Schizosaccharomyces pombe: one gene and its partners. The gene in region 3 interacts genetically with the main gene of each other region. Each region holds a gene or a part of one and is shown on either strand. Other genes may lie near its edges.

Evidence for each region.
Region 1: of rst2 (region 3) and ste11, changing one suppresses a phenotype caused by changing the other (phenotypic suppression), as found in Schizosaccharomyces pombe (one study listed by BioGRID).
Region 2: of rst2 (region 3) and cgs1, changing one suppresses a phenotype caused by changing the other (phenotypic suppression), as found in Schizosaccharomyces pombe (2 studies listed by BioGRID).

Annotation. Positions count from the first base shown.
Region 1 is NC_003423.3:3,981,381-3,989,431, reverse strand, and holds ste11 (DNA-binding transcription factor Ste11), read right to left. Parts: upstream 6,057-8,051; 5' UTR 3,847-6,056; coding exon 2,440-3,846; 3' UTR 2,032-2,439; downstream 1-2,031. Other genes in the region: serine/threonine protein kinase Ppk25, read left to right, coding at 146-1,417. UniProt on the Schizosaccharomyces pombe protein: Key transcription factor for sexual development. Activates the transcription of the matp, matm, mei2, mfm, ste6 and rgs1 genes. Binds specifically to a DNA fragment carrying a 10-base motif 5'-TTCTTTGTTY-3'.
Region 2 is NC_003424.3:3,641,194-3,647,667, reverse strand, and holds cgs1 (cAMP-dependent protein kinase regulatory subunit Cgs1), read right to left. Parts: upstream 4,640-6,474; 5' UTR 4,430-4,639; coding exon 4,300-4,429; exon of another isoform or gene 4,035-4,299; coding exon 2,926-4,034; 3' UTR 2,032-2,925; downstream 1-2,031. Other genes in the region: SPOM_SPAC8C9.04 (uncharacterized protein), read right to left, coding at 1-1,393; SPOM_SPAC1142.09 (uncharacterized protein), read right to left, coding at 4,823-5,170; DNA-binding forkhead transcription factor for ribosomal proteins Fhl1, read right to left, coding at 5,449-6,474.
Region 3 is NC_003424.3:1,306,413-1,315,376, reverse strand, and holds rst2 (DNA-binding transcription factor, glucose starvation sensing, Rst2), read right to left. Parts: upstream 5,697-8,964; 5' UTR 4,398-5,696; coding exon 2,694-4,397; 3' UTR 1,948-2,693; downstream 1-1,947. Other genes in the region: fsv1 (SNARE Stx8), read left to right, coding at 913-1,656; AAA family ATPase involved in ubiquitin-mediated protein degradation Cdc48, read right to left, coding at 6,435-8,808, 8,865-8,920.

The DNA of each region.
Region 1 (8,051 bases), on a different chromosome or scaffold from region 3:
AAGAACAATATATCTTTTTATGTGAAGTGAGTTTTCTTTTTATGATAATTTTATCTAAGACACTACTTCTTCCTTTCTTAACTTCATTTGTAATTGAATTATTTAAGCACAATTTTGTTCATAAATTCCTTTTACAGCTGAGAAGATGAAACCGAACACAACTAACCTAAGGAATGAGTGCTGGGATACTTTCTCTATTCCTAAACGCTCTCAGAATATAAAAATAAATCAGTCTACAAAACATCAAAGGTCTATATCTGATTTCGTTGGCACAGCTGGTCCTGGTCGACAAGTTGGAAACTGGATTATCAAGAAAACAATTGGTGCTGGCAGTATGGGAAAGGTTAAACTCGTTGTAAATATTTTAACAGGAGAGAAAGCAGCTCTCAAAATGATTCCCTTTACTCCTAATAATACAAGTCAGACAGTTCGTGTTCAAAGGGAGGCACTTTTAGGTCGTTTATTGAGACATCCCAACATATGCCGGGTAATAGACTGTATCCGGACGCCTGCATGTACTTACATACTGTTCGAATACGTTCCTGGAGGACAACTTTTGGAGTACATCCTTGCTCGTGGCAAACTCGATGAAGATTTGGCTAGGAGTTTTGCTATGCAGTTGATTAATGCATTGGTTTATCTTCACAAGAATTTTATTGTACACAGAGACTTAAAAATTGAGAATGTTCTTTTAACTCAGGATTCTCGTCAGGTGAAGCTAATTGACTTTGGCCTCAGTAATTTTTATAGTAAAGACGATTTATTACGTACATACTGTGGGAGTCTTTATTTTGCGGCCCCAGAATTACTTGATGCAAAGCCGTACATAGGCCCAGAGGTTGATGTTTGGAGCCTGGGAGTAGTGATTTATGTTATGGTTTGTGGACGAGTCCCATTTGACGACGTTTCCGTTCCTATGCTCCATTCAAAAATAAAGTCGGGTAAACTGGAGTTTCCTTCTTACATTTCAGAAGATTGTTGTTCTCTTATTGCAGCTATGCTGAATGTAAACCCACGGAAGCGCTGTTCTTTAGAACAAGCAGCAAAATTTCCCTGGTTAAAAAAAAATTCGTTTTGTTTGTATCTGCCTATTCCCTTAACCTCTATTCCCTCAACGCCTTCAATCCGATCTCATGTTTTCAAACCGCCTTTTAATTTAAAGGTTTTACAGCTGTTACATGAGCATGGTTTAGCAAGTATTCCCGAACTAAAACATGAACTTTACATGGCTTACATTGAGAGAAAAACAACTTCATTAGTCTGTCTGTATTTATTGGGTGTCGAAAGTCTCGCTCCAGCACTTCGAATTCCAACGGCTTTACCTCCTGTATATAGTAGACACCAACGGCATCATTCAGAAATTCTGGGTGCGATGGATTTGACAGAGAAAATTACTGCTATGCAGTGTCCACCTTAATTCCTCCTGGAGTAATTTTTGTTAGCATTTATTATGTGTTTTCGAAGAAGTTCCATTTTAATTAAAACCTGTGGCTCTTTTTCGTTACTTTAATTAAAGAGTTTCATTGTTTCTAAACTTAACTTTTTTCTTTTTTTTTTGTTAGTGGGTAAAGACGAGTTAAGGCTTTTTCTTTTTGTTTTCATTCTTAAATAATACAGTTTTGCAATCCAACATATACAAAGATTCTTACGACTTGCGTTATAATTTTAAAATATAATTGATCGATTTTTGATAGCATTACTTCTTTAAATCCGTCGCTTTTCATGAAATATTTGAATGCCGAATGCTATAAACATTTATAGATAGATACCTTTCGCCATTGAAACCGAATGAATTCTATAAGTTTCTTTGTCAGGTAATTTAATTACCTTTATTCTTAATCAATTTATTGGTTGAGTTATCTTTACATTACCCCAGTAGGTGTGGGTGCCAAGTAAACCTTCATCGATAGTATATCTAGTGAAATGGTGATAACAATACTGCATTGGATGATTGCTTGATACGTAAAGAAAATAATGAACATATATATACTTAACATTCTTACGAAAGTAATGGAAGAGAAAAATTAGAAATTACGTTGCGATATAATATATATTTTTTTAACTACAATATATATGTAATAACGGGCCCAAATTAGATGACAGGAAATTAGATGTAAGAAATCAATTCATAACGTAAGACATTGTTCAAAATTAAAAAAAAAAGAAAATTAGTGGGCAACTATTCAATGTTGCCCAATGTGCTCTTTGGAAACTAAGTATACACATATTCCTATAATAAACATAAAAAGGGAATAATTAAAGAGTTTAAAAGGTAAATGAAATAAATTATGGAAGGCATCATCTAGCATAACAAAGATATGCAAAATTAAAAAAATATAGATTTTTAAGCATGACATGAACAAATCAGCTGCATGCTTTTGTGACGCGTTAAAAATGATCGTTTGTTGAAAACAAAGCCATGTTTGCATAGAAATATTTTCAAAATAAATTAGAATTGGGCAACCAAGGTTCTAAAAGAGAAGGTCCCAATGAGTTAGCATCTTTGAGTGAGGAAGCAATAGGATCAGTTGATGTAAAATCCGTAATTTGTGAAAATAAATCATCCAATTCTTGAGAATGAGCGGCGAACTCATAATTGCCATTTGAGAACAAACTTTGAGAAAAACTATTAATGTCAACAAAGCCTTTACTTTGTTCGTCGCTTCTCCAGGTATTATTTTCAGTATGTCCAGAATTGGTAACACTAGACGAAGAGACGCATGTATAGCCAGAACTGCTGTTCAATCGACTCATTGCTGGGTAAGAAGTATGGCAATAAGGCGTAGATAAAAGTTCGGTCTCTTGGCCGTATAAATACGCAGTAGTGCTGCCTACACTGAGAGGAGTTCCTAGGTACTCAGCTCCATCAAAACCATAATGATCACCGGTATTCGGGGTTTTAGGTGATATACTGGCATTGGGGCAAGAGGGAGTTGAGGGTCGAGCATCAATAGGACTACAATGAGACAACACTTTATCGGCTGACAGCTCTGGACTATCAGAGTTACTTTGCTCACTCACGGTTCCTTTAGAATCAAATTTTGGAACTCTTCGAGCAGAGCAATTGCTTGAATTTTGAGGCAAGTTCGCCTCCAAGCTCGGTGTTTTTGACATTTGATAAGATTTGTCAACACAGCCATCAGATGACATTGATCTTTTCGGTACTATTCGGGCTTTATTAGCTAAACACACAGATTTTGTTCGCCCGATTGGACTACCGCTACTGGGTGATCTATAATAGATGCCCAAAGAACTAGGAGCTTGCTCGGATTTATCCAATGTAGAAATAGTTGTAGAAACTTGATCGGTGAAGGATAAGGAAGGAATTGTATGACTTCGAATCATTGGGGAAGACGAAAGACAAGACAATTCACTGGTTTCAATAAGATTCGATTTACCTGACTTTGGATATGAAAGAGCGGGAGCTAATAAAGCTGCTAAAGTTTCCTCCTCATTAACAGGCTTTTCGGGTTCGGTCTGTTTTAGAGTCTTAGAAGATTGTGCAATTTGCTGCAGTACAACGTAATCCGAGGCCACAAAAGATCCGGAAGAAGGTGATACCTTTTTATGGCGTCTACGAACAGTAGACCGCTTTTTAGGGGTGTACTTGTATTCGGGATTTTCCAGCATATGTTTCTGCCTTTCGAGGGCGGATAAATCAGAATAATACTTCTTGACTTGGGCACTTTCATTTCTCCACAGCTGACCAATGATACGTGAGATACTTTGGTGATTAGAAGTAGGAATTTCAGCTTGGCGATCTCGACGATAAAGCATAAAACTGTTTAAAGGTCGCTTAACAGAACTTTTTTGGTCCTTTTGCTCGGCTGTTAAAGAAGCAGACATTGTGTAGAGAAGAGTAAATATAAAAATTGTAGTAAAAGTAAGGGAGAAAATAAAACAAATGAAACGGTTCTTAGAATTAATTAGAAAGATGATTCAGTAAGAACAAAGCAAACATAAATGAAGTTCGCAGTCAGAAAGAACGAAGTAGAAAAGAAGCGAACAGCACAAACCGAGGGAGAGGGGATGAGATCAGAAAACAGTAAAGAAATAAACACCGAATAAAAACTGGTGTGAAGGATTTTTTTCTATTTAAAAAAAGAAAAATGGTATTAAGATAGAAAGAAATCTCAAACTAACAAGAATGAAAAATGAACAAATTATTCACAGTGAAGTAACAGATGAATATAGTAAAAGTAAAATTCCCTTGTATGTATCAACAAATAAATGAAAATAAAATTTCCGTCAATCTAGATATTAAACAAGCTTGTTCGCCAAAGAAATCAAGTTCAAGCTTAATGAATAGAGACTGACTGGACTAAAAAAAAGAAAAAAGTGACAAAAGTATATTTGATGCCAGGTTTTTCCTAAACGAAAAAAGTAAGGTAATGAAATAATAAATGAAACTAATGGAATTTCCAGCTCAAGAAGAAAAAAACAGAAGCAACACTCAAAGCCGATTTGAAAAATGTAAAGAAGCGTAGAAAAAAAAAGATGAAAGTTGAGACTGAAAAGTTACTAGATCGAGTTGGAATGATGAAGGATATTTTTCGTAAAGGCGATTGAATCAAGGATAACTTGAAAGAGACAATTAGTAGAGGTCCAAGTGGAAGAAGGAGTGAAAGTGATATATAATAGAAGGCCACAAGAAAAAAATTGAAGCTTTAAAAGTGATTTTCTTATAAGCCTAATTTTAAGTTGAGGAGATTTGAAAACGAGAACAAAATCACGAGCCTCTAAGGCTTTTTTTTCTCTATATAAAACGGAGGAAAAACTAAAAACAAGAAAGAGCGGAATAGTTAACAGGAAAAACAGACGAAACGGAAGACTAAATAACGGAAAAGTGAGTCAAATAAAAAGGCGTAACAAGGGAGAAATTTCAGAGACACCGATAACTGAAGAATGGTTGAGCTCTGTAAGATGGTGAAACTTTGGGTATACAAATAAAGTGAGGAATACCAATGAATACGTGAATAATGCGACAATGACAGGGGAGAAATAATGTTATAACATGAGCCAACAAAGACCGATGGTGAATGCAACTTAATTCTGAATGGTGTGTACTAATGGAATCACAAAAGAAACACGTTAAAAAAAGGATATTAAAATAAAATGAGGAATGAAAATCTAATAGATCAGATATCAAGGATAAGCAGCCAAGCGATAGAATAACGATGCGAATAAAAAAAATTTAAAGTTGGGCAAAAATTGCAACAAAGAAACAACTTAGTTAATTAGTAGAGAGAAAGTTGATAAAGGATAACTATGGTGGTAGAGACAAAGAAATATATAAAAAAATTTTGACGTAGAAAAAAAATAAAAAAAAGGGGGGGATTCGACGTACAGTAAGGGAATCGACGTAAAAATTAAAAAAAAAGATAAAATCCTTTTGATTTCAAGAAACGAAAAAATTATTCCAACACTTCTCAATTAACAATTCCAACAGAGGAGGATCCCAAAAGAACGTAGAGGCAAGAAAAACGAGAAAAGTTTGAAGAGAGAAGCGAAGCCAATTGGACCAACAAAATGAAGAAACAGAATAGAAGAAGAAAAAAAAGTTTAAGTCTGTTTACTATAAAGAAAAGAAGAGATGTGAATAAAAATTAATCAACAAATTAAACTTAGAAATAGTCAGTGAAAATAAGTCAAAGTAAAGTCAAAACAAAGAAAAGAATAGAGCTAAGCCAAAGCAAACCAAGATAAAGGAATAGACTTAACACGAATAGACAGGAAAGAATGGGAGGAGGCAAGCTAATTCAAAGACGACAAGCTGCAATCAAGACAAAGACCAGAAAAGTTAAGTTAAGTTGAGTAAAAAAAAAAAAGAAAACAAAGAGAAAACAAAAAAACGAGGCAAAAGCTCTCAAAGAAAAATAAAATGCAAACTAATCAAATGAAATACTTTCTTTTAGCATTCACAATCAGGTTTAAGATTGAAAAGTCAGAATGCTAATAATGCTTTGTTTATTTGATAATAAAGAAAATCCAATATACGACGCGAAACAATTCAACGCTGGATATCCTTTTAATATATGCTAAATGAATAGATTCTCACTATGTAAGTCACCAGGTATGTATGTATATATATATATATATACATACGCATTGGCAACCAACTAGTAAGAGTATAGAGCGAGGCGTAATACGCGATGTTACTGACAATGAAAATCAAACAAAGAAATTCAACTTTTTTAAGTCTAGCCAAAATGTGTATGAGGGGAAGGGACAAAATTCACAGGGGTTAAAGTAACATATGATGCGAAAGCATTTGTCACTTTTACTTGCCTACAAACGATGTAACACAGCAAACAAAGTCAGGGATTCCCCCCTGTACAAAAGATTAGTGTGGCACTTGGCAAAAAGTCTCGCAAAGCTACTTTTCGTTGAGGGAGATAGCGCAAGGCAAAATGACAAGAAGCCAACGACTAGTCTTCCAATGAATGAGGAATTGTAGAACGCTGGGGAAGTTGGAGAGTTAAGGAGGGGTGGAGAAAGCAAAATAGAGTAAGCGGGCATTTGAAGAGCGGCAATTTGCGAAACCGCAGGGTATTATAGGTAAGGTTTAAGCAAATGTTAAAAGAATAAAAAAGCATAGCGAATGTGTGAAAACAAGTGCCGGCAGTTTGAGTAGTAAGCAAGTGATGAGGAAGTAGTTTGGGGTGAACGGAACGGGAGTGAAATAAGAATGGCGAAGACTTGGAGTCATGATGAAAAATACAGGTACTACGAGCGGAAGGAAAGAAACCACACACATACAATGATTCTATCGAGTCATTGCCATTGGAATTTTGCTACAATTTACCGAAAATTAGGCGTGGGTGCTTGTGTTTCCCTTCCATCATCCCTGGAGATGGCATGCACCACAAATAATCTATCGCTACAGTGATAGACATGTAAGATGGAGAACAAGAATGTCGGAAAGGTAAGTGCTGTGGTAGTACAGGGTGATTTGCATAAGAATGACATTTTTTTAGCAAGATCATAAAATGGGAAACGCGATGGAAGAGACTATGTGAGACACAATGTATGCTGTAAAAGTATAATCTTATTATATTAAAAAAAGAACGACGAATAAATTGAGAAAGGTGAAAATTTCAAAAAAAAAATAAATGGAATGGAAAAAAGAAATAAAACCATTGAAAACGATAAAAGTCCAAAGACTAGACATTATTTTAGAGAAGGAAATGAATGCTACTTGAATTTGTGCAAAGTAGCTTTGACTTATGCAATGTAATAGAAAATAGGAATTGCCGCCAGATTAGCGTATGTGTGCGTACAACTTGAGATATGCGCTAATTTCCATTGCATATCACCCAATCGCACTATTAACCTGGGCTTTTGTAAGAATTGAGCGAGCGACCAGCAAAACAAGGTTGAGCTTAAAAGGTGGATGACCCGCCGAGTCAGAAAATGGCGGCCGGCAAGATGCAGAGAGGAAGGAGACGATAGGAAGGAGAGATGGGAGAAAGTAGAGGTAAAGATGAAGATGAAGATGTAGATTAGTTATAGATGAAGACGAGTTTTGAATGAAAAAGGTTACTACTGAACGATAACGAATTTAATTTGAAAACGAATATAATTTTTTGAAAACGACTATACTTTGAAAATAACCTAAACCGATAAATTTATAGCTAAAAACTTCACAAATTGTATTGTGGAATGTTTTCTTACATATCACCAAAATTGCATCCTTTTGGAACTGGACTCTGCTAGCCAACTGTGCTTATCATTGTTGACTTGTATAATCCCTCATTGCGGCTAATCGATGTTGGATAGACAGTAAATGAAAAAAATGGAGAAAAACAATTTGGTGAAAAAATTGACCATCCTATATATGGGTGACTCTTGATCATATGTATATCTCTGATCATATGTGTCTTTGACCATATGTATCTTTAAAAATGCTATAGTGTTTTACAAGCGTAACTTATTAAATTTCTACCAACCCATTTTATTGTCATATCCATTCTCCTCTAGTATCTATTCTATCTTACTACTTCTTCCTATTCTACTCGAATAAACTTGCCGATTAACTTTTTGCTCTAGAG
Region 2 (6,474 bases), 2.3 Mb from region 3:
TGGTTTCCTTGGAGAAATCATGAGCAGTCTCGGTAGGGGCAGTGACAGCTTCTTGCACTGGGTGTTCTGCAGTGGTACCTCCAACGGCCACTGGGTTTTCAGACTCGGTGGGAATGGTCGAGGGGACATTTACCTCGTTCTTGACAGTGGAAGAGACACCCTTGCCAACATCGGTCACAGTTTCAGTAGCTTCTTGGACAACGGAAGACTCGTATTGCTCAGGTTGCTGAGCACGGACGGGTTGTTCAGCAAATCTCGCGATTTCAACCGTTTCGGCGGTGGGATGAGGAAGGTCCTCCTGTACAGTTTGTTGCACCTCTTCAAATGCTCCCGGAATGCCACTAGCACTAGCTCTAGCACTGGTTGTTGCCTCATGCGTCACACCTCCCTGGCCAAGGGCGATGGGCGATTCTTCTTCCACCGTTACTGTGGTGGTATGGGGGATGACATCTGCATGTGGAATGTCGCTCGCATCCTCGAAAACCGTCTCTTGCTGAACGTTTTCACCAATGCTTTCAAGTACGTTATCATTCATAATTCCATCGGCCACTGCATGTGACTCAGCAGTGGCAGTAGTAGAGGCAGAGGCAACTGCTGCTGTTGTCGTAGCTGCTGCCTGATCATGCGTAGTATTTATTTCTTTCGATATCATAATAGCTTCAGGCTCAATGGGCTTCAATTCTGGAATTTCTTTCTCAGCGGTAGTAATGGGTTGTGAAGTAGCTTTCGCCATGTTTTCCTCTACTTTCGAAGAAGGTTGCGCAGCAGATGTCGTTGCTGGCTTAGACGTAATCGAAGCTGGGGAATTACCGAGTTGCTCGTCATTGCGCTGGGGTGCGAAATGTTCGGCTACGACGTAATCAGCGGATTGTGTGGTTGCAGTAGACTTTGTAGAAGCGGATGAGGAGGAGGAGGAAGGGGAATTGGCGGGTTCGGTAATACTTGTATTGCGTGCTTCCGTAGTTGGCACTGCTGTTGACGTGGAGGCAGAGGGTTTGTTGTCAGTAGGCGGCTCTACAGTACCCAGAGCTGAGGATGCTATGGGTTCCAAAGGCTCGTCAACCTGATCAGCGTCTTTCTCCACTATAGTTTGTGTAAATCCTGGCTCTTGTAATATGGTTTGTTCTTGTTGTTCCTCTTGCGCGTGCTGAGCTTCTTCCACAGGTGTGGAAGAGGCAGATGCTGCTGCTGACTGCTTCTTCTTTTTTGCAGCCTTCTTTTTGGCGCGTTTAGCGGCCTTCTTCTTGTTATCCTTGGTGACGGACGCCTGGGAAGAATTGTTATTCTGCTCGACCGCGTTGGTACTTTTCGAATCCAGCTTCTCCTGGACTCTCGACGTTACTTGGTGAATTTCATTTTTCGTCTGTTTAACAATATCGGGATTCGTGGTCATATTCAACTCAATTTTTGTTCTACTTTTACACGCTCTGCGTTCTTGTTTGGTGGTTGGTAGAAGTTGTAAATCTTGGCGTAACTAGAATTTATACGAAACCCTGTTATGTGAGTGAAAAAATGCATATGTAAACAAAGTTAATTCAGACGAAAGTAAGACACAAAACAAAACATTTCTTTACCAAAACATTGCTTCGCTGATCATCTTCTTAATATTACAATTTATCTCGAGTGCTTAACTTTATTCTGCAGTAATTGTCATTTCTACCCGTTGTGCTTGTTGTGAATAACCTACCCTACTAAGAACATTCACAGTAAATATGTAGTATGGAATATGGGGAAAAAAATTTTTCTTGTTTAAGAAAACCTTACGCATAGTTCGCAACTGTAGTCGTTTTTTTATTTATTATGTTCGCAAGAACATTGAATGTACGAAATTGAGTATTCTTTAAAATTTTTTGTATCCCATTTCGTACGGATTTGATAATTGAATAAAAGTCCTTTCGCTTTTTGCTGAATTTATTTGTCTAACAAGATATTCGTTTTATAAGTTTTTTACACAATTTGCATTCTCCTAGTTACACGTATCGTTTATCGCAGACTGTAGTTTCATCTAATTTGCACCCCTTTACTCAAAACTTGGTAAAAATTTTGTGTATTGTATTAAAAAACTATTCTCAATTCTTGATATTAGTCAATTTCTCATAAAATTTTTAAAGTTATGTCACGTAACTACAAAAACCGAGAACTCACTCAGTTTGCATACAAAACATCCACACTCTTGAATTTTTAACACTTCATCCCTTTCCCCACGTCTAGCGTCTGCCTAAAGCTTTCTAAGTATTTCATGCTTGCAAGTGTTTACGGACCACGGTAATTCTTGTATAATGTGCGTTACTCCAATGCCAAGTACATTATTGAATGCAGCTGCTGTTTTGAAGAGTGTGTGATTATTCAAAAAACAAATATAAGAACTCTCCATATAGATAGAAATATTTGACGATATCAAATATCGATTAAAAAACAAAAAAAAACAGGATGAAGAGAACGATAAAATAACTGTCATGATCCGTACGAAAAAAAAAACACAAACTAAACGGTAAGCTTCCAAACATCAAATGCTGCGATATTCGACAGATAAAAATAATAAAAAAAAAAGGAAATTTCAAAAAGAAAAAAAAAAACAAAATAAGAACAGTGAAGTGGTAATCACGAATATAATTGGAATTAAAACATTAACAAACCATATCCAGTGCCATGCTAGAACAAGACATAAAGGTTTTCAAAGAAATAAAAAAGAATAATACGTATATATACATTATCACATATAATGCTGAATTAGATAAGTAATCCAAACAAAACATGTTCAACATGAATAAGTAAATTATTCCAGGGATAATGGTAAACAATCACATGCATGCATGACCAATATGAAAAAGTTAGAAGGCAAACAAACAACAGGGAAATTCTTTAGCATATCATGACAGGTCATTATTACAAAGATAGTTTCAAAGAAAACAGATTATAGAAATTTTATGCTTTAGTTGATGGAGGTGACCTATGAAGAGATTGGTCACCATACTCATTATCCATTCCCATCCTGGCACGAGGTTGATTACGCATCAAATCGATCGCGTTACCAAGTAGTCTATTAAATGTAGGTTTATCAAATGTAGCAAGTTTCAGGCGAGTTTTTGCCTGTACCGTCGCATTTCTCACTGTTTCGTGAATTAAAGCTAGTTCACCAAAGTAATCTCCCTTGGTTAGGGTAACGACTACGCCTTTGCCATTCTTCACTACTTCAGCCTCGCCATCCTCTATCAGATAAAACTGGTTACCAATGTCGCCTTGTCGAATAACGATGCTACCGGCTTGATACACGACTGTCTGAAGAGCATCGGCAATTTTTTGTCGTTGATATTTGTCAAGGCTTGAGAGAATGGGAACTTCTTCAAGGAGGCTTTCATACAGCATCCTCTGGCGATATGCGTTTTCAAATACGATACGACGGAAACTTGTACGATCTAATGCGTAAATTACATTATTTGGTGTTTTGGAGACCACCGATGCAGCTCGTGGAGCATTATACATGAGTGCCAACTCTCCAAAATATTCACCGGGAGAAATCGTAGTTATGTAGTTACCATAACCACTCGAAAGCACTTCTTCAGGGGTAATATTTAGTTCGGGCCTTTTGTATACATCGAATTCACCTTGCTCCACAATATAAAAGTAATCTCCAACTGCTCCTTGGACAATGACAGCAACACCAGCCTCTCCAATCCGTTTTTCAGTCATAGCGTTCAGAACCTCGTTGTAATGTTCTTCATCCAAATTCTTAAACAAAAAGTTCCCAGCAACTGAGCGCTTTAGTCTTTTCAAATCTTCAGGATCCTTCGGAGGAAAGGTTCGTTTGGTCTCTAGTGCAAATGCACTAGGATTCATCGACTCAGTGGAAACAGATTGGCGACGCAACAGATTGTAGTTTTGCGGATATGAAACGTTCATTTCTTTTAATCCTCCCAATTCAGGAACGTATTTGGCATCCGGACCAATTGCCTCGGGGCCAGCAACCATATCGTTGAGCTCAGACAGGAAATCGCTTTCATCTCCGTCGCTAAAAGACTCTGTAATGGTGTCGCCTAAAAGAGAAATTTGTTAACATGATAAAACAAAAAAGGGTAAAATTTGTGTAGTATAGAGTGGGAGATTAAATGGGTACAGGGTCCTTAAACAACTTTGTGGAATTATTAACAGCCAGGAATCATAATTGCTGTTTGCTGACTAAATTTAGAAAATACTTACTATAGAGCAAAACAAAGTAAAAAACCACAAAAAAGAACCCATATTGACCATCATTTACTTTTCCTCTCCACTAAACATAGCTATCCAGAAGCATCTACTTACCTCGACGAAATACTGAGCGCTCAGCTTTCAGCTTTTCTCCAAAAAAGTCATAGCAAAATTGAAGTACATCTGAAGGATTTTGCTCATCAACAAGGGCTTTTAGCTCCTCATATACTTCTTCGAAAGACATGTCTCCTAAAGTTTACGTGCCTTTCTTTCAAAAAATGCGGTTTTTTGTTTCTTACTCTCAGTGAATCACAATCTCGCGGTTTTTGTTCGCTTCAGCTTTTCCTGACACTTTAATCAACCACAAGAGGTAAATTTTCCAAAATAAAAGAGCTGAATTCAGCTATACAAATCAGTTATTTACCTTCGTTTGTTACGGTTGAGATGTATGTTTAAAGTCTACCTGAGGCGTTGGACTAAAATGGATGGATGCCTGCATTAGCTCACTCATACGTCATAAAATGTACTACGCAATGCCCTGACTCCATAATATGGGGTTTATCGAAGCGCATAAAAAAATAGAGAGTAGAATGTTTGACGATGCAACATAGCTTGCGTTTTCCAGTGTTTCGGTATATTATTTTGTGAAGCTTCTTGTACATCCGTGAGTTAAGTTAGTTAAGAAATGAATAGTGAGCGGTCTATGGAAAAGTGATATGATAAATATACATCTATAGTAAGAAATTAGAATCGCTGAATATGAGTTGTTTGTTTTCAAAACAAATTCAATGTAACTTTTGAAGTCTATCAGATCAGAGAGCTTGCCCGACAGGATTACAACAATAATAGTTTTGGTCTTATTAAAAGTGCTATAAAAACAATCATTGAAGTAAATATGCTTTCTGTATTGGCTAAACAAAGGTTTCAATGAAAACGTAAATAAGGAATCGCTAATGTTCACAGATAACAAAAGCGAATCCTCCATACCCTTCCTGCTTTGCTATTAACTTTTTCGACAAGAAAACGAAAATGCTTATTAAATGAAATAAAACCAGACGGCAATTTATTATGTAAAGTATTAACTAAGGTAAACATTAAACACATGAGAAATAAAAGTAGAAACCACCCAAAGACCAAGTTGTGCAATCACTGTCAAAAAAAGAAAAATGAAACAGCTTATGCATGCTGGTAAGTGTAATTTTCGGCACTAATGTATTAATTAAGAAGTCATCAACAACGTTACGTGCATGAGCATTAGTAAATTCAGGTATAAGAGGATGATGTCTCGTCCAACGGTCGCTTTACTCCTCGTAAAGCGTCGCTTGAGTTTGATGGTAAATTCATGCCCCTTACTGAAGATGAGTCGTCAACATTGTTTCCGTTCTTTGCATTAGTATCAAAAGATCCATTTTCGTTTTCCATTATATCTCTTTTACTAAAGCTTGATGCATTTCCAATGGAATTCATCCTTTGTCCTTGATTGCCTGTTTCAACTCTCTCTAAAGTATCATTAGGCGAAGAGTATAAAGGCCGATCAGAAGTGAATGGTTTGTTTATTGGTATGGTGTGTAGATTTTGATGGCTTGTTATCTCTGATTTGCTTTCAGAAGCAGTGGAGTTGTACGACGATGATCGAACTGACGATGGCCCCGCGGACACATTAGCCATTGCTCCTGGGGGTAACGGGTCTCCAATACTCTGGCGTGTATCTGGTAACTTCGAAGGAGCAGATGGCCTAACATATGGAGGTGGTCCAACGTTTACTGCAGGACGTTGAGTGACTGAGATACTAGGAGACGGTGATGTTATGTTAGGGTGCGGCATTGCAGTCGGCGCCGGATTAAGTTGCTGTGAAGTATAAGCTTTACGACGCTTTGCCTGTTGTTGCACTTGTTGGGGCCCTTGCATTTGCGTTTGCTGCTTTTGAAGTTTTTGGGCTAAAGCCACAGCGAGAGCATTCGCAATCGCTGTGGCTTGCTCCGGGTTGTTGGCAGCGGCAGGTCCTAGCTGCTTATTAATGTGCTGTTGGAGTAGTGAAATTGCTTGAACGGCTTGCTCGTTGGGAGCCTGTTGCTCTCCATTTGCATTCTTGAAAAACTCGGGGTTCAAAGCAAGTTTCCCATCGCGCATAATGATAGGTTGAATGCCATTTTGAAGTAAGGATTGTGGTCGATCCTCTACATTTTCTCCTCGGGAAGTATGAGTTTTACTACGACTAGTTTCTTTTTGCGGATTAAGCTGTTCGGTTTTTCCAGCTGATATACCCTTTGTCTGGATAGCGGCTAATTC
Region 3 (8,964 bases):
AAGAAGTCGATTAGCCGAATATAGATATCAGCATGATTCGTTTTAAACGGCCCAAAGCCTTGTATATATTTGAGTAATTTTCTACTGTACTTAATTGTCTGTAATTAAACAACTATTTGTTACTCCTACCTTGTTACACTTGGATTTAATACTCTGGAATTAGTGTACTAACTCCTAAATAAATATTTAAGTAGTATTTTTCTTTAAGATATTTCTTTAATAAACATTCTCTTCTAATGAAAAGAAAAGCGTCATTATTGGTATTTTAGTTTTCAGAGCAAAGAGGTACTTAACATTTATTATGTCGCAATTATTTTATATATATATTATATTAATATTTTGTAATGAGAAACCTAGGCCTAATAGTGTAGTGGTTAACATACCTCTTTCGGGTAATCCCCACTTGTATGCTGAGTTTAGAGGTGATCCCTGGTTCGAATCCTGGTTAGGCCCCTTTTTATACTGGGCTTGCTGTATAAATTTATCTGATTAATTTTGAAACTACGCAAACCAACTTTCAATAATTAAAAAGTTTTCCTTACACCTTGCTTGATTACCTTTTAATAGATGTGAAATAAGAACTACTAAATTTGTGATAAATACCGAAAACAATCAGAAGAGTCGAAAAGAAGCATTCAAAAAATTGTGTAAATAACGAGTAGGTTTCTAATAATACGATAATTTCACAGGATGCCTATAATGGATCTGGCAGCTAATGAGCAAATCATTTTTACTTTTTTTTTTATTTAAAACATACGAAAAGATTCTCTTTTTTTGCTGCAAACAAAATTTACTGTAATTGAACCTAGAATTGGTAGCAAAGGCATTACACCGTATTACTGTAAACTTCACTAATGTTTGTGTTTTTAGGCGCATGATGAACATGATTACTCAAGAAAGTAACCAGCGACTATGTCAAATTTGCTTCTGATCATTGACTCGGTTTCACAAAAAATAAGAGACAGGAGGAAGTTGGAAGAGTTTGGACAGAATCCCGATGAAGAAATTGAGTCTTCATTGAAAGATGTTCGGCAAGAATTGCAAAAACTTAATGAGGAGCAATCGCGATTAGAGAAAAATGCACAAATCCCAGAGTACAGAGTACGAGAATCCGAAGCATTTCTTATTAGAATGCAAAGGAGGTTAGAGTCTGCTGAGGAAGAGTTTGAGAAGCAGCGGCGTGCATCCTCAATTCCTGCTGACGGAACAAGTGCCTTTTCTGCAAACCCGCAAGTTGCAAGTACGAATAATAAGTTAACTCCCCTTCCTTCTTTACAAAAAACGACTTCGAGTAGTGAGGGATCTGATATTGAGATGGAGGCCATGTATCCGGTTGATGGCAATGACCCTGATCCCATAAACGTAAACGTTTTGGCTCAAATGCATCAGCAAATGCTCAACGAACAAGAAGAATCTTTAGGAGGGATCGAAGCAAGTGTCCAAAGGCAAAAGCGGATGGGATATGCAATGAATACAGAATTGTCCGAACAAAATGTTTTACTAGATAATATGAATAATGATGCTGATCGAATTGAGAGGAGGTTTGATCATGCAAAAAATCGATTAAACAAGGTCAGCCGAAAGGCTAAACAGTATCCCAGATGCTTTATTATTTTGCTCCTTTGTGCGTTGTTATTACTTGTGGCTTCCATTTAGGGTGCAAATAAATATCACTTAGCAATTGTACTTGCTGTAACTCTGTTACACTTTCACTTAATTCTTTTATTTCACGTCCTCTTTGAACTAGGCTATATAGTTCTTTTATTTATATTTAATAACCGTGATATTTACGAACTTTTTTTTTACGATTTTGAAAATGTTTTTGTGATCTTCAACTTCTTTTGCTAAACGAACCTTCCCTTTATAGGGAATACAGAAATTAACTTTTTCGTACATTCCAGTTTCTAACCATTGACTGTCTTTCTACTTTAGTAATTATTTTTCTGCTAGCGCATTTCTTATCGAAATCATTTTTGTGTTCTTTTAAGGGCCGTCCCCCTTGTTCACAAAGCTAGTTTTGACGACTTAAATCAAGTGAATATAGTGCATGCAGAGTGAATGCTTAATAACCATTTGTTACAAACTTTGTTTCGCTAATAACTCCTTATTTGACATTTGAATAAATAACCTATTAGACTTTCAAAATTTTTAGATTCAGGGCAGTAAACAATAAACAACAATATCTTCAATTAGCTGTATCAATTTATTTTCAGAAGTTTTGCTATATTATTCCTTCATCTCATTAAAAAATATTCTCTTCTATTATTAAACATACGTAGTCATGTTATCATTATCATTATTAAGGAAAAGTTTGAACGAGTAGATTCTTTCTTGAGAATTAAGGGAACATGTGCTTGAATGCCATTTTTTTCATCTTAAATATAAAGCCTCCGTTGCTATTGTTAACCATATCACGCTGAACCTTTTTTGATAATAAAATATCAGAAGCAACCCTCTTAACTAATGTGTTGTGAACCTCTCAGCATTGCATATCTTAGCGTAATTAAATATTCGGTAAAAGAGGATCGTTTTCCTATCAACAATTGAACCCCAAATCAAAATATTCAAAACTTCAGATCAATCCTTAAATTAATTAAAAACCGAATCAAAGCTAGTTGATTTTTGTTTAAAAAAACTAAAAGATGCATTTCATTAAGAAACAAATAGTATAAAATATAAAGATATGAAAAAAATTAAAATGAGGGCGGTTGATTCCGATTATTATCTGTAAGCAAACCGGAAGTTTCGGATACAGGATAATTAAAGTCTGAAGACCAATTTGCCCCATTGTTATTGAATGAATTAAAATTAAAGAAAGGAATTGAATTGGAATTATCTAATTTCTCAGACTGAAAATTAGTCTCCATTTGATCCCCTTCGTTGTTCAATGAATTTGAATTCTCAACGCCTTCAAAATTGTAAGAGTCAAAATATCCCATCGAAGCGAAGGCCTGATCTTTATCGGTAATTTCTTCAGATAATGAAATGCCTTCTTCTTTGATGCCTTCTGATATTCTTCCTTCCATATCAACATAGCCTTTTGGAGGATAAGCTTCAGATGGATATTGCTCTGTTCCTAATGGCGAATTAACATGTGCATATGTGGGCAATCCAGAAGGGATCGAAGAAGGACTCAACGTTAATGGTTGCTGCATTAAAGATTCAGGGCTATAACAGCTCGGTGAAAAATTAGTGCCACTAGGCGATATGCAAGACTGACGCATATGTTCGAGATTATCAAGACGAGTATAATCCACAGAATTACTCTTAGGAGGATTCTGAAAAAAGTAACTATTTGATTTGTTGATCAAAGAATCTTTTGGTGAAGCATGAGGAGAAGGCATAGCCTGAAGATTAAGAAACGAAGCAGAAACATCAGATGGGCCACTAGGTTGATTGAAAGTAGGAAGATTTAAAGACTCACTAAAACTCATCCAATCCAATTTATCAATCTCGTACCCTTCAGGAATAGATTCAGGAAGTGTCATATTCATAGCGTAATTTCGTGAAACGGCGTTAGGTGAATACGGCATTCTAGCCAAACTTTCATCGTCTAATTGACCTGAAAGGCTTTCAGGTCTATTAAAGTCATAAAGCTGCGGGTGTTGATAAACAGAAGGCCTCAAATCGCTGGCAATGGTTGCCCTACGATAGTACAAAGGACTGTCGGGTCCATAAGGCACACCGAGACGTTGATCTGACCATTGAGAAGATGTAGGATTTACTGCACCAGATGCAGAGGCATTTACCGTTTCCCTCCCATTACCGGCAGAAACCAGCCTTTGTTGTTGGGCTTGCAACCAACTTGCAGAAAATGAACCTGAGTTGTTCGCAAGCTGCGCTTGTAGTGCGGCATGCAACTTTGGATAACGAAATTTGTCAATGGAATCTGCCTGAGGTAAAGAAATAACAGGTTTAGAAGCTAAATTTGTTGTGCTTACCGAAACATTTGAAAGAGAAGGATTGGGTAAAGCCGTTGTTGAACGACGTCTTCTTCGAGGTTGTGGATTCCTATGGATTTTCTGTTGGTGACGAAGTAGAAGATCACGCCTCGAAAACTGTCGACCACAACCTGTAGGTAAACCATCAATCTCACTACAAGTAAAAGGCTTTTCGTTGGTATGAGATCTGATATGTCGTTTAAGATGCTCCAATCGAGCAAAAGCGCGTGTACATGTTTCACAAACATATTGTTTAACTTTCTGGGGTGGGGCATTAGGGTCCTTTTTAGCAGCGGTAGAAGAAGCCACAGGTTTTGAATTAGAAGTAACAGAGCTGGGTGTATTAGCATTAGAGGTACCAGAATCGGAATTAATAGACATCAAGTTTTCCGAAACTTTTGATTCGGATAAAGTATTAGCTTTCGAGGCTATCGGTGCTAAAGACTCACGCGTCATGATAAAACAAGTTTTCAAATTAAACAATTATTTTCTTATTTTTCAAAAGAAGAATATGTTGTTAAAATAAAAGATATGAAGGGAAATAAAGCTTGAAAGTGATTGCAATCAGGATTCAAAAAGACTAAAAACGAAAACCGCAAAATAATTTTCGAAAATGAAATGCAAGATCCTAAATTAGTTATCAACAAGTCAGAAAAAAGAAATAGCTAAATAAATCAAAATTGACTTGTCAGAGAAATACAGGTAGGCAAAAATAAGCAAGATATAATCTGCCAAATAATTTTACCAAATAACGTTAATAGCAAAGCAACAGAATATGTTAAATATTTCTTAAGGACAACAGGGAGATGAGAAAAGTAGTTGAAGAAGGAAAATATGAGGAGAACTGTTGAGATGCCAAACTTTTTTTTTTTAAAGGGGATAAAAAAAGAGTGTAATCAAACAAAAAGCCACCGCGAAGAACAACAAGGAAAGAAGGTCGGTAAAATAGACAGAGAAAGAATAAAAACAATCGATTGAACCTGCACACAGTAATAGCACAGATAAACAAGAAAAGACACTTGAAAAACTTAATGTACTTCAGAAGAGTCTATTTCAAAAAAAGCCTGGAAAATAAATTTCAAAAAGATAAACGCCATCCACACTTTAAATAGAATTAGACACTAACTAGGAAATAAGAAACGTATTGTCGAAACAATGTACGTCAAGAGGAGAATCGGAAATGTAAGGAAAGGAGAAAGAATTAACAGTCAAATAATAACTGAAACAAGGCACGTGAAGGACAAAAAACGAATCCTATAACATATATACTAAATGTCTGATAGATTGGTTAAGGATGTCAATTTTATACATCCAAACTAAAAAATATAAAATAACAGACAAACGCTTTGCGGTTTTCCTATTTCACAAAGGAAAAACCAAAATTGAATGATAAATGAAGTGTATCCTATGCGAATTGTAAAGAACAAATCAGCTTTTAACACTTAAAAACGAATTTTAGTGCAATAATCTTCAATGATCTGAAACTCTGCAGTGAACTCGTATTTTACAATTCGAATAAATGAAGTTATTGCAACTTAGAAGTAAAAATCTTCTAGTGTAAAAGATTCTCTTTCCTTTCTAAGCTTACTAACTGGTCAAGTGGCGAAAAGCCGGATATCGACGATTAATCGTTTTTGAATGTTTTCACTGACTTCTAGTAAAAACCTTGATACTTTTAATTACTCAAACTTTCTGAATCCGTCAAAACTCTTTCTTAACAAATAATTTCAATCTCACTCATGTATATGGAGGATTGTCAGTTTAATGCATGTCGTTGTCGCGACTAAACAAATTTTATAATAACCTAATATTTCCAGGTAACACAGGTAACGATGCTTAAGGCACCATGTGGAAATTCTGAATCGACATTACATACTTTTGTGGGGGTAGGGTCAAACTACGGTTATCTGCCGAACAACATGTCCATGAGCTCGCAGATATCGTCCACTCGTTGTGGTCGATAGTGGAACATCCCAGTTTTAGCTCTTCCAGTAGATTTAACGGGGCGTTGCCTCCACGAAGAGACTTAACATCGCTAGCACACTACTAGCATAGTAGCAGTTCACCTTGAAAATAACTACACATACAAATATGCTACTATTTCGATAACGACATTTTAGGTTAACACTTGGATCTCCGGGTTGGCTTCTATCTATATGCCGATCGTTATGTGAATCGTGTGAAAATGCACATTTCTACACTTGCAAAAACTGACGAAAAGTTATAACTAAACACAACAGTCAACATAATAGTATGCTGTAGTAAACTAGACTTGGGCGTTCAAGAATTTCTTACTCATAAAAAAAAATTCGTTCTATTCAAAGACTAAATTTAAGAATCCCTACAAACTCATGTTAAGTAGCAGAGAAGTCATTATTATCAATCAATCAATCACCTTTTACAAAAATGACTTCAACAAAAAGGCAAGTCCATGTTCATACATAAATTTTGTTCATCATCGGATATAGAATTCATGCATTAAGGTGGTAGTTTCTATGCATACAAATCATCAGCACCATCATTTCCGAAGCTTGGTCCATTAGTATTACTATCAGCCGAATCAAACTGGAATCCTGTAAGACCACGCGAGGTAAGGAGTTGATGGGCATAAGCTTCATAACGACGGACTTCTGCATCACTGACAGAGCGGCGTGCCATTTTCATGGCCTCCTCCACATGATGACGCTGAACTTGAGACACAGATGCATCTTCGTCCATAACAACATCGTCAGCAGGAGCCTCTCCAGTCTCATTTTCGCGCTTGATGTCTTCTTCAATGCTGTCCTTGATGGCCAATTTAACAGCTCTTTGTACAACAAACTCCAAATCAGCACCTGAGAAGCCATGGGTCGCCTTAGCAACTGCACGCAAGTCAACATCTTCAGCAACAGGCGTATGTCTCAATTGAGTTTGCAAAATGCTGAAGCGAGCTTCTTCATCGGGTAAGGGAACGTAGATTAATTGATCCAAACGACCGGGACGCATCAAGGCAGGATCAATCTGATCGGGACGGTTGGTAGCACCAATAACAAATACATTCTTCTTGCTGTTAACACCATCCATCTCAGTAAGAAGTTGGTTGACAACACGATCACCACCACCAGAGTCACCAGCAGAAGCGCCACGTGCTTTGGCAATAGAATCCAACTCATCTAAGAAAACGACACAAGGAGCTGCAGCACGAGCCTTGTCAAATATATCACGAACGTTTGATTCAGACTCACCAAACCACATGCTAAGCAATTCGGGTCCCTTTACTGAAATAAAGTTGGCAGAACATTCGTTGGCAATGGCTTTCGCCAACAATGTCTTACCTGTACCAGGGGGTCCGAAAAACAAAACACCTTTGCTGGGAGTGACACCAAAACGCAAAAACTTTTCGGCATACATAACAGGCATCTGGACAGTTTCACGTAATTCACGCTTAACTTCTTCCAATCCACCAATGTCTTCCCAACGAACATTGGGAACTTCCACAACGGTTTCACGCAAAGCAGAAGGATTGCTGGAACCAAGGGCAAATCTGAAGTTATCCATTGTAACACCTAGAGAGTCTAAAACCTCGGCATCAATCTCATCTTCATCCAAGTCAATCATATCCATCTTTTCACGAATCTGTTGCATGGCAGCTTCAGAACACAAAGATGCCAAATCAGATCCAACGTAACCATGAGTCTCAGCAGCAATTTGCTCAAGATCAACGTCATCAGCAAGCTTCATGTTCTTTGTGTGAATACGAAGGATCTCTAAGCGGCCGGTGGGATCAGGAATACCAACATCGACTTCACGATCAAAACGACCAAAACGTCTCAATGCCGGATCGATAGAGTTAGGACGATTGGTAGCGGCCATTACTACAACATTACTACGAGCTTTCATACCATCCATTAAAGTCAATAATTGTGAAACAACACGTCGTTCAACTTCACCATTCGTTTTTTCACGCTTGGGAGCAATAGAATCTATCTCATCAATAAAAATAATAGCAGGGGAATTTTTTTCGGCTTCTTCAAACGCCTTCCGCAAATTAGACTCAGATTCGCCTGCCATTTTTGACATAATCTCAGGACCATTAATCAGGAAAAAGAAAGCGCCCGTTTCATTAGCAACTGCGCGAGCCATTAAAGTTTTACCGGTACCTGGAGGACCATACATAAGGATACCACGAGGTGGCTTGATACCTATACTTTTGAATAATTGGGGATGACGGAGGGGAAGCTCGACAAGCTCACGGATTTGAGCCATCTGGCGACGACAACCACCGATATCGTCATAGCCAACTTCTGCCAAGCTACTTTCTTCATCCTCACGATTAATGGGTTCACCTTCCCAATGAATAATTGTATCCTGGCTAACAATGCCAAATTCATCAGGAGCAACATCAACAACTTTAAATTCAACTTGACGCATACTACCCCGTACAACGAAAAGATCGCCCTTTCGAATAGGACGATACGCTTCAACAAAGTACGGCTTAAGGTAAACATCAAAGAGAGAACCAGTAAGACCCTCGACGGTATCAGCCAAGGGTAGTACTGAAATTCGTTCAGCATATTTAATATCTGGACAAGGATTGATCGTTACAATATCGCCTAACCTTACGCGCAAGTTGTTACGAACAACACGATTAATTCTTGCTACGCCATCTTCCATTTCTTCGTCAGTTAAAACAATCAAGACAGTGTCTTTCCGTCTCTTTCCTTTAACGACAACTGTGTCACCACGGAAAAGTTGTAAAGTCTCCATGGTATTGGACGACAATGTGATTACTGAGTTATCATCGTTGGTAGCGTCATCGACCACTAGAGAATTTGGTTTTCTTTTTTTACGAAGAATAGCTGTTGCTGTGTCTTCTGCACTATATGTACTGAGCTTGTTAGCATCGAATTCTAAAAAAAAGTTACTGCTACATCGAAAACATACTCTTTTGGAGGGTTTTCACCCTGAAGGTGTTCCACTTCTGGTTTCTTATCGGTCATGGTGGATGGTGCGTTCATTCGACCATGCACCATGCGCTTATATA